2 linked regions of the Pelodiscus sinensis genome follow. The protein of the gene in region 1 purifies or fractionates together with the protein of each later gene. This does not show direct contact. Links are inferred from orthologs where the notes say so. Each region holds a gene or a part of one and is shown in the gene's direction. Other genes may lie near its edges.

Region 1 (3,910 bases):
CACAGACTTTGCTATTACTGTGTATACAACTTGCATCGCTTGTGAAGATCCTGTGTAACCTGCTCAGGTGATTTGTGAAGCTTAAAATGTTTTTATTTAACATTTTTCAGAGAGTGAAGCTAGGGTGATCAGACAGCAAACATGGAAACCGGGATAGTGAGTGAGGGTGATAAGTGCCCATATAAAAAAACTCCCAAATATCAAGACTGTCGCTATGACATCGAGACATCTGATTACCCTGAGCAAAACTGCTGTGAGGTCTCCAGTATGTCCGAACAAGAATTCAGATTACACAGCTGGCCCATCCAGTCTCTTGCTTTAACCACTGGACTACACTCCTATCCAAGCTCTCAGTAGGAGAGCCCCCCAGGCCACAGAGGTAAGCTCACAGTTCCCAGCGCTCACCAAGACACTCCACACTCACGTCCATTTTAATGCTATAACTGGTGGTTTTATATTTAAAAACCAACCAACCCACCCTGGCCCATCATGGCTAGAAGGTGCAGTTAGTTTTTTTTTCCCAGGGGATGCTGGAAATGCCCCCCAGGCTCCCAGGGGATGGTGCAGCAGCCAATTCTAATGTAATGCAAAGGGGAAAGTTCAATGCGAAGTGATGCTGGTTTATTTCGTTTAAAAACGACCCCCTAATCAACGGAACCATCGCAACGGAGAGCCCCCCCCACACCCCAAGTCCAGCGCGTCGGGGGGGGGGGGGCAGAGAGGAAGGGACAAAGCAGGAGGTGTGCAACATCCTGCCCAGCGAAGACTCGCCCCCCGCTAATCAGACTCAGTCACAAAGGGGCCTTTCTCTCCCCAGCCTCCTCCCGGGCTGGGAGCCTCCGCCGAACTGGGGGCGGCTGGCTTGGAAGCGCGGGGCCCCTCCCCAGCCGGGAGGAGATGAATCCTCCCCTCCCTCTTAACCTGCCCCTTGCTGCCCCCCATCCAGCCAGCGCGCCCACGCACCTCCCCTTCCCCAACAGCAGCTCAGCCCCCCAGCCCTGGGACCGGCCCCACCCACCCTCTGCCCTAGGCCGCTGCCCGCTCCCCCTCCGGCCAGGCCGCCGCCGGCTGCTACCTGCCGCCGCGCTCCCTTGGCACCGGGCCGGGATGGGCGGTTCAGCCCGGGCCGGGCCCCTCTCCAGTGCGCCCGGCGCGGGCTGGGGCGCGCCGGCCCCGGGCTGAGCGGCGAGCGGTCGCGGAGCGCCGCGCTGGGCAGCCGGGGAGGCGGGGAGAGGGGCCGGGGGCAGAGCCGCTCCACACCCCAGCGCGCTCGGCAGGCCCCGCCCGCTCGCCCGCCCGGGAGAAACTTTCCCCGGCTGCTTCCTTGGCGCCTTGTGCAGCCGGGCGCGGGAGGAGCCGGGGCGCGCCAGGGCGCGGGAGCCGGGGCAGGTGAGGGGCCCCGGCGCTCAGGACCGCGGAGAGGCGAGCTGGGGCGCACGGGAGAGGGGCGCAGGAGACGGGCAGAGCAGCCGCTTCCCCCCGCCCCGGATGGGGCGCTCGGTGGCTCCCCCGGGCGGAGCGTAGCGCAGGCGAGCTCTCCCCGCCGAGCCGTGGGGCTCCCCCCGCCCCAGCTCTTCGGAGATGGCCGGGAGGCGCTCGCACGCTGCACCTGCGGCGGCCGAGGACACCTGGATCCCGGCGGCAGGGCAGGAGAAGGGCGACGGGCCTCCCGCCGAGGGGCCCCCGAAGAAGAAGAAGCCCAAGGCGGGTTCCACCCTGCGCCGGGCGTTCAGCTGGCTTCGGGGCAAGAGGAAGAAGAAGAAGAGCAGCGGCTCCAGCGCCCACCACGGGGCGCCCCCAGCGGAGGGGGAGGCGGCCTCCAAGGGAAAGAAGCAAGAGGAGCGAGCCAAGAAGAAGGGCAAAGGTAGGGCAGGGTGGAGGAGAGGTGCCTTGGCGAGGGGCTCTTTGCTGGCTGGGTCTCTCCTTCCACCCCTGGTACCACCCAGACGCTTCCCTCTGCCCCCCGTTTGGGGCCAGCTCGCAGGAGCCCTGCGAGGGGTGTAGCCACCCCCACGTTGCCCTCGCTCTTGTTATGGCTGTGGCAGCAGGCCTGTTCCAGTTCCCTGCAATGGAGAATGCCAGGCGCCCCGCGTAATCTCATTCCTCCCCGCGGGGAGGTTGCCGGTTCACTGGGTATGTTCTCTCTCCGCTGAGTCAGAAGGTCACAGAGACTGGAAGAAACCTGGAGCTACTCCAGAGACGACCTCAGCCGGGTCTTCGCAGGACCTGTGCTGCTCCAGGTGTAGCCTCTCGCTGCGGCCTAGGGCCTGCTGCCAACATCGCCAGCCAGGCCTTGGCGGGGCCTGGGAAACTGGAGGTGATTCCTCCCCATTACTTCAGGGTGGTGGGTAGGGGCTGCTCTATTGCTGCAGGCCTTCAGCGTCTGGCTGTGGGGTCATAGCCGGAAATGGCAAAGGCCTGTTAGTTCCACTGCGTCCTTTGGCAGGGCAGGATACGATCCCTCCGAGAGTGGGTACCACTACTAAACCCAGGCTCTGCTCATTCCCGCCACTGCTCCTGCATATGACGTGACTGGGGGCTAAGCCCTTCGTCCCCGGTTCTAGACCCTCCTCCAGCCGTCCGGGCGAGGCTATGCCGTGTTGGGGCCGTTCTCCGTTTGCATATGGCCCAGTATAGCAGTAATAAGAAGGAAGTGCTGCTTGTTGTCCCTTCTAAGCTGGAGCTGTTTCGCCCAGGCTGGGCTGTGGTGTCAGGGACCCTGTGTGCGCTGTTGACTCTGCTCACCTGTTAGAACATCAGGACAAAGTCTCTTCTGCCTGGCCTTTTGGAAAAGGGGGGACAGATTCCTGTACTAATCCATCCCATGATTCATTGCCCTGTATTACCGTTCTTGCTCCCGTGCTGGGTGCTCATTACTTTAATTTGCAGGTATCCATAATGTGGGGAGTTGCTGTTTTTTCAGCGGCTTTGTTGCTCTTTTAGTGGTCTGCCATTTATTGCTTTCGAGAGCCCACTGAGAGCTCTTAAGAGAGGAGCAGCCATGGAAACATAAGTTGCTCTTACAAAGAGATCTTTGAAAGATGGCTGAGTTTTCACCTAAAAGTCTCATCAGATGCTACCAGTGCGTCCTGTCAGACTTGTCTGGCTGCAGCTTTCCCCTAGTGTTACGTGCTCAGCTACCACAGTGATGGGCGAAGCGTAGGAACCTGAATATCACCCAGGATGATATTCTTCAAGTGGTGCAACACCAGCATCGGCTCCGTATCTAATCTTCAAAACAAGGCCTGTCCAACCAGTCATTGCTGGAGTTGGGATTGGAATGTAGGAGACCTTGACTCTCTTATAGGCACTGGCCGTGTGTGGTTAAAGCCAGCTAGGATTCCAGCACTGTGCTTCCTTCTAGCATGGCTGCCCAGCCCTTTGGCAAGTGCAAACTGGGTATCTGCCCCCCGCCCGCCCAAACTGCTGGAAATCCCCCACTTCCTGGGACTTGTGAGCCTGTTGTAGGCCTTCCTCTGCTCTGCTGGAGGAAACGTCCCCCTTTTGCGTGGGAGACTGCCGGCTGCGTCTGTGTGCCGTGGAGCTGTACCCCGTACCTAGAGTTCCTTCTGTGTTTCCGTAGTGCAGCCATTTCTTGGCGTGACGGGGAGAGAGGTGTGGAGTGGTAGAAACAAACATGCATGTGAAATGACTGCAGTTTGCGTGCCTGATTAAGTCACCCCCGTCTGCTCTAATAACATGCTGGCTTCCAAAATGCAGAGCGTTGCTGGAACCACACCCTGTTTAACCCTTCCCATCCCAGCGGCTTATCCATTTGAGTTCCAATGTGGTGAAACTTCCATGGATCAGAGGAGTAAACTCTGGGTGGTGATCAAGGAAGCCTGGCTCCATTACTGTCTTGTTCTGTAATCTTGGGCAAGTCGTGGTCCGTGTTTGTGTTGTGAGCCCC
Region 2 (3,910 bases), on another chromosome or scaffold:
ACAGGTTGGCTTCTTCTGCAACCAACATCTTCTACTGTCCAAGGCAGCACTAATGTCAACCTGATTGTTGTAATCCATCAATTGCTTTGTTGGTTTCAATATGAACTTTATGCAGTTGATAACAATGCGTGCATTGTCACTTCTTCTCACACACATGGACTTCACCCTCTCCGTCAGGTAAGGGTGATATCTGCTGATACCATTATTGGACCTAACCAAGTGAGTTATAAGATCAAGAACACATATTCCTGCGCATCCAGAAATATAATTTATGCTATCATGTGCCGAAAGTGTCCATCTGCTATGTACATTGGACAAACGTCTCAGACTCTTCGCGAAAGGATTAACGCCAACAAAACAGATATCAGACAGGATCGCAAAGAAAAAACAATTTCTTGCCATTTCAACCAGAAAGGACACTATCTCAACGACTTATCTACCTACATTCTGCTACAAAGACCTTTTACATCTGCACTTGAAAGGGAATCCTCTGAACTGTCATTCATGCTAAAATTCGACCCCAACTACTTTACCCATTACAAAGATAGCTACCTTTCCCCACCTCTAATATCATTAACTCACAGACACTTACCTTCCTCCCCCCCCTGTTCTGAAATGTGATTTGTCCTTTTCATATGTGTTCATTTTTTTAAATTGTATCCTTTGGTATATATGGTTGTGACTATTTTCTTCCATTATTTGATCTGAGGAAGTGGGTCTGGCCCACGAAAGCTCATCATCTAATAAACCATCTTGTTAGTCTTTAAAGTGCTACATAGTCCTGCATTTTGCTTCAGCTACACCAGACTAACACCGCTACATTTCTATTACTATTCTGTCAGATAAGTAACTTTTAACTGCCCTATTTCATACACGAGGAAACCGATACATGCACATATTCAGAGAGTTCTGCGTACCGCCAGGACCCTCGAACAGAAACCATGCATCTGCGCACTAACCACGCTGCGCTAAGTACAGCAGGAGACACTCGATGGAAACAGCCCCTCCCACTCTCTTTGGAGCAACAAGCAGCTCCACCCACTCTCCGTCTAACCACTCCTTTCCCATTCCCATTGGCTGCCCGAAGCCGGCTTTAGAAAACGTCACAATGCCTTCGGCCCCTCCCCCCCAGCTCGACTAGCGAACGAACTGGACTATACCACCTGCCATTTTGAGGGGGTGTGTGGAGAAATCGGGGCTCCCTAATACTCAATGTCACGGATTTTGGGGGAGGCATTCACCTAGTTCCTAGGGGAGGCGGCGAAGGCCGGTCAGGTGTTGAGTAAACAGCCGCCACACGCTTGGCGAGTGTGTCCGGGCCGGGGAGAAGCCCCTCCTCCCACGCGCACACACACGCGCCGCTCTGTGTCTATTGTGAAGCCTTTGGGGAGCTCCGCGCCGCCGCCCCCCAGCTCGCGCCGGGTTCGGGTCCTTCCCCTCCACAGCGAGTCTCTCCAGCAGGGTGAGGCGGTTGGAAGGAGCCGTTTGAACTTCGGATTCGTAGCGAGCAGGGAGCAGCGCGAGCCTCGGGGGCGCTGAGAGGGCGGGGCTGGTCGGCGGCATGAAGGTGTGAGGGGAGCAGCGCGCTGAGCGGCGAGAGTAAGTGCCCCGCAGTCTGCGCCTCCTCCGCCGTGACCTGCGCCCACCGCGGGGAGGGCAGCGGCCCTTCATCGGCCCCCGCCATCCTTCCATCCCCACCCAGAGTGACACCTTCGCCATCCTTCCCCCCTCAGGGTGCCCCCCATCTGCCCTGGGGTGAAGGGAGCAATGGGGGTGAGCCAGTGGGGTCCCTCTCTAGCTGGCTGCAGCTGGTGTTTGGGTGGGGGGTGAGCGCCGAGCCTCCTCCGGCTGTTGCAGGGACAGGTGTGTCAGTTCCTCGCCTCTGGCTGCGGGGTGAGGGTGGTTTTGCACTTTTAGCAGCGAAATGTCTCCCCCCCCCCCCCCGCCTCCAAGTGCAGCACCCAGTGCAGAGCCTCACTCACGGGGCGGGACCTTTCCATTGTTGGGGTCAGTAATTGATGGGGGGGCGTTCGTTGGTTGTCACAAGACGCTCGCTACTACCCTGACCCAGCCACCTCCGCTTAATTTATGTAATGAGGACTGTAGAGGCCAGAGGTGGGAATGGATGATGGAGCTAGATGCGATTTGCCTTTTGAAGAGAAGCAGATTCAATCATACTCACTGGAAATAGCTGCCAATTTGAAAGATTGCTACCATTGTTCCGCTGTTGCCTGTGAGCAAAAGACCTCCAAACAGCAATCCCAACACCATGTAGCCCTCCGCCTCCTCCAGCCACCAAAACATCCATCCCTCTGTGCCAGTTTAACGTGTGGCTACAATAATTATAAAATGTAATAGCCCAAAGTAATCTGTACTTGTATCTTAAGCATGTAGGAAGTCCTTCTAGATCTATTATTCATGTGTCTATGAATGATTTTGTTTCATTCAGTTTTGTGTTTTGGAATCAGAAATAAATATAGTAATTAGATGTTTTAGTTTGCTTTGTGATGTTGGATTTTCACATTTCTAGCAAATATTTCAGTTTTAAAGGAAACCCACTGGATTCCTTTGAAGGTATCAACAAGAGTAAAGCATAGCAAGTAGAAAATGCAGCATGAGGCTTTAATATTTCTTACATGCTGTTTTTAATTTTTTTTTAGTGATCATGGCCACTCTAGAACCAAAGTAGCAGAAATAATATTGACATAAAAATAACTGCAAGACTTGTTTTAGGGGAAATTTCTGTTTTCTAAACCTTTTTTTTATTTCGACATTTGATGTGTACAACTTTTATTTCATCTTTATAAATGGACTATGTATGGTACAATAGCAAAACAAGTTTTGTGATTTACCTTCTGCTTAAACACCAGATGTGAGTTACCCCATATGTGATTTGTTAATTTTGAGAATACAGCTGTCATTGACTCTCATACTGCCTGCCAGCAATTGTTAGGTGATTCTATAAAAGTGCATTCCTTGTTTTCCTGGTATGCACCTACAGGGTGTTGTCTGTAGTTGCATGGTATAGTTGTTGAAAGGTAATAATGTATTTCAAAGTCTGTTTGTCAAACTAATCTTTGGTGTAACATTGCTATTTAAATATTGTATCTCAAGTATTATGCTGCAAATCAATTTATATAAAAGCAATATTTTCTTAATGCTGAATCTCTGTTAAATCAATCTGTGTATATTAATCTCGTACTATCGTGATGGAAACTACAGCTTTTAGTTAAACTCTGTTGTGCTCAATATATTATAGTAAAGTGTAATCATTTAAGGGTCTGGAGTAAAGTCACAGTACAACCTTTAGAATTATTTGCTAGTGTAAATTTGCTATTGTCCACCTGCTACTTCCAGTGAGGTATGTTGTCAACACATTCTTCAGAACTAAAACAATGGGTAGGTCTACATATGTGGTGGTTGTAGGGTACAGATATTGCATGTCCAAGTAGCGTGTCTATAAACAGTGGTAAAGAACAATGATTCTCAACAATGGGACCTCTTCGGAGGGCCGTGAGCCAGTTTCAGGAGGTCCAACAAAATAAACCAGAGAGCAGGAATGGTGCTGGAAACCAGTGAGTATTGGATAGAAAGCCAAAGCTTGGACCCTGCTGCTGAGATCTGAAGCCAAAGCCCAAATAATTTAGCTTTTGTAGAGCCTTGGATGCTTGGTACCCCCAACACCAGCTCTGGCTTTCAATTGATTGGTTATACGGAAACACAGCTGTTGGGGTACAGGTGTGCAGTGACATTTTTTGTAGTATATTGAGAGGTAAGGCCTCAGAAGGAAAACATGTTGAGAACCCCTGGTGTAGAAGGTGAGATACAGCTTTGATGAGCAGACACATCAGAACCTTAAGATATGTACTAGTATAGTCGATTAACTGATAAGCAAAAGATTATGGGATAA

What was found.
Region 2: the proteins of NHSL3 (region 1) and WASF1 purify together in Homo sapiens (affinity purification with mass spectrometry; 3 studies listed by BioGRID and IntAct, with this or other methods). This does not show direct contact. The link is inferred for Pelodiscus sinensis from reciprocal best matches to the Homo sapiens genes NHSL3 and WASF1.

Annotation. Positions count from the first base shown.
Region 1 is NC_134735.1:3,324,599-3,328,508, reverse strand, and holds the start of NHSL3 (NHS-like protein 3), read left to right. Parts: upstream 1-1,581; coding exon 1,582-1,864; intron 1,865-3,910. UniProt on the Homo sapiens protein: Able to directly activate the TNF-NFkappaB signaling pathway.
Region 2 is NC_134713.1:78,569,691-78,573,600, reverse strand, and holds the start of WASF1 (actin-binding protein WASF1), read left to right. Parts: upstream 1-1,143; 5' UTR 1,144-1,599; intron 1,600-3,910.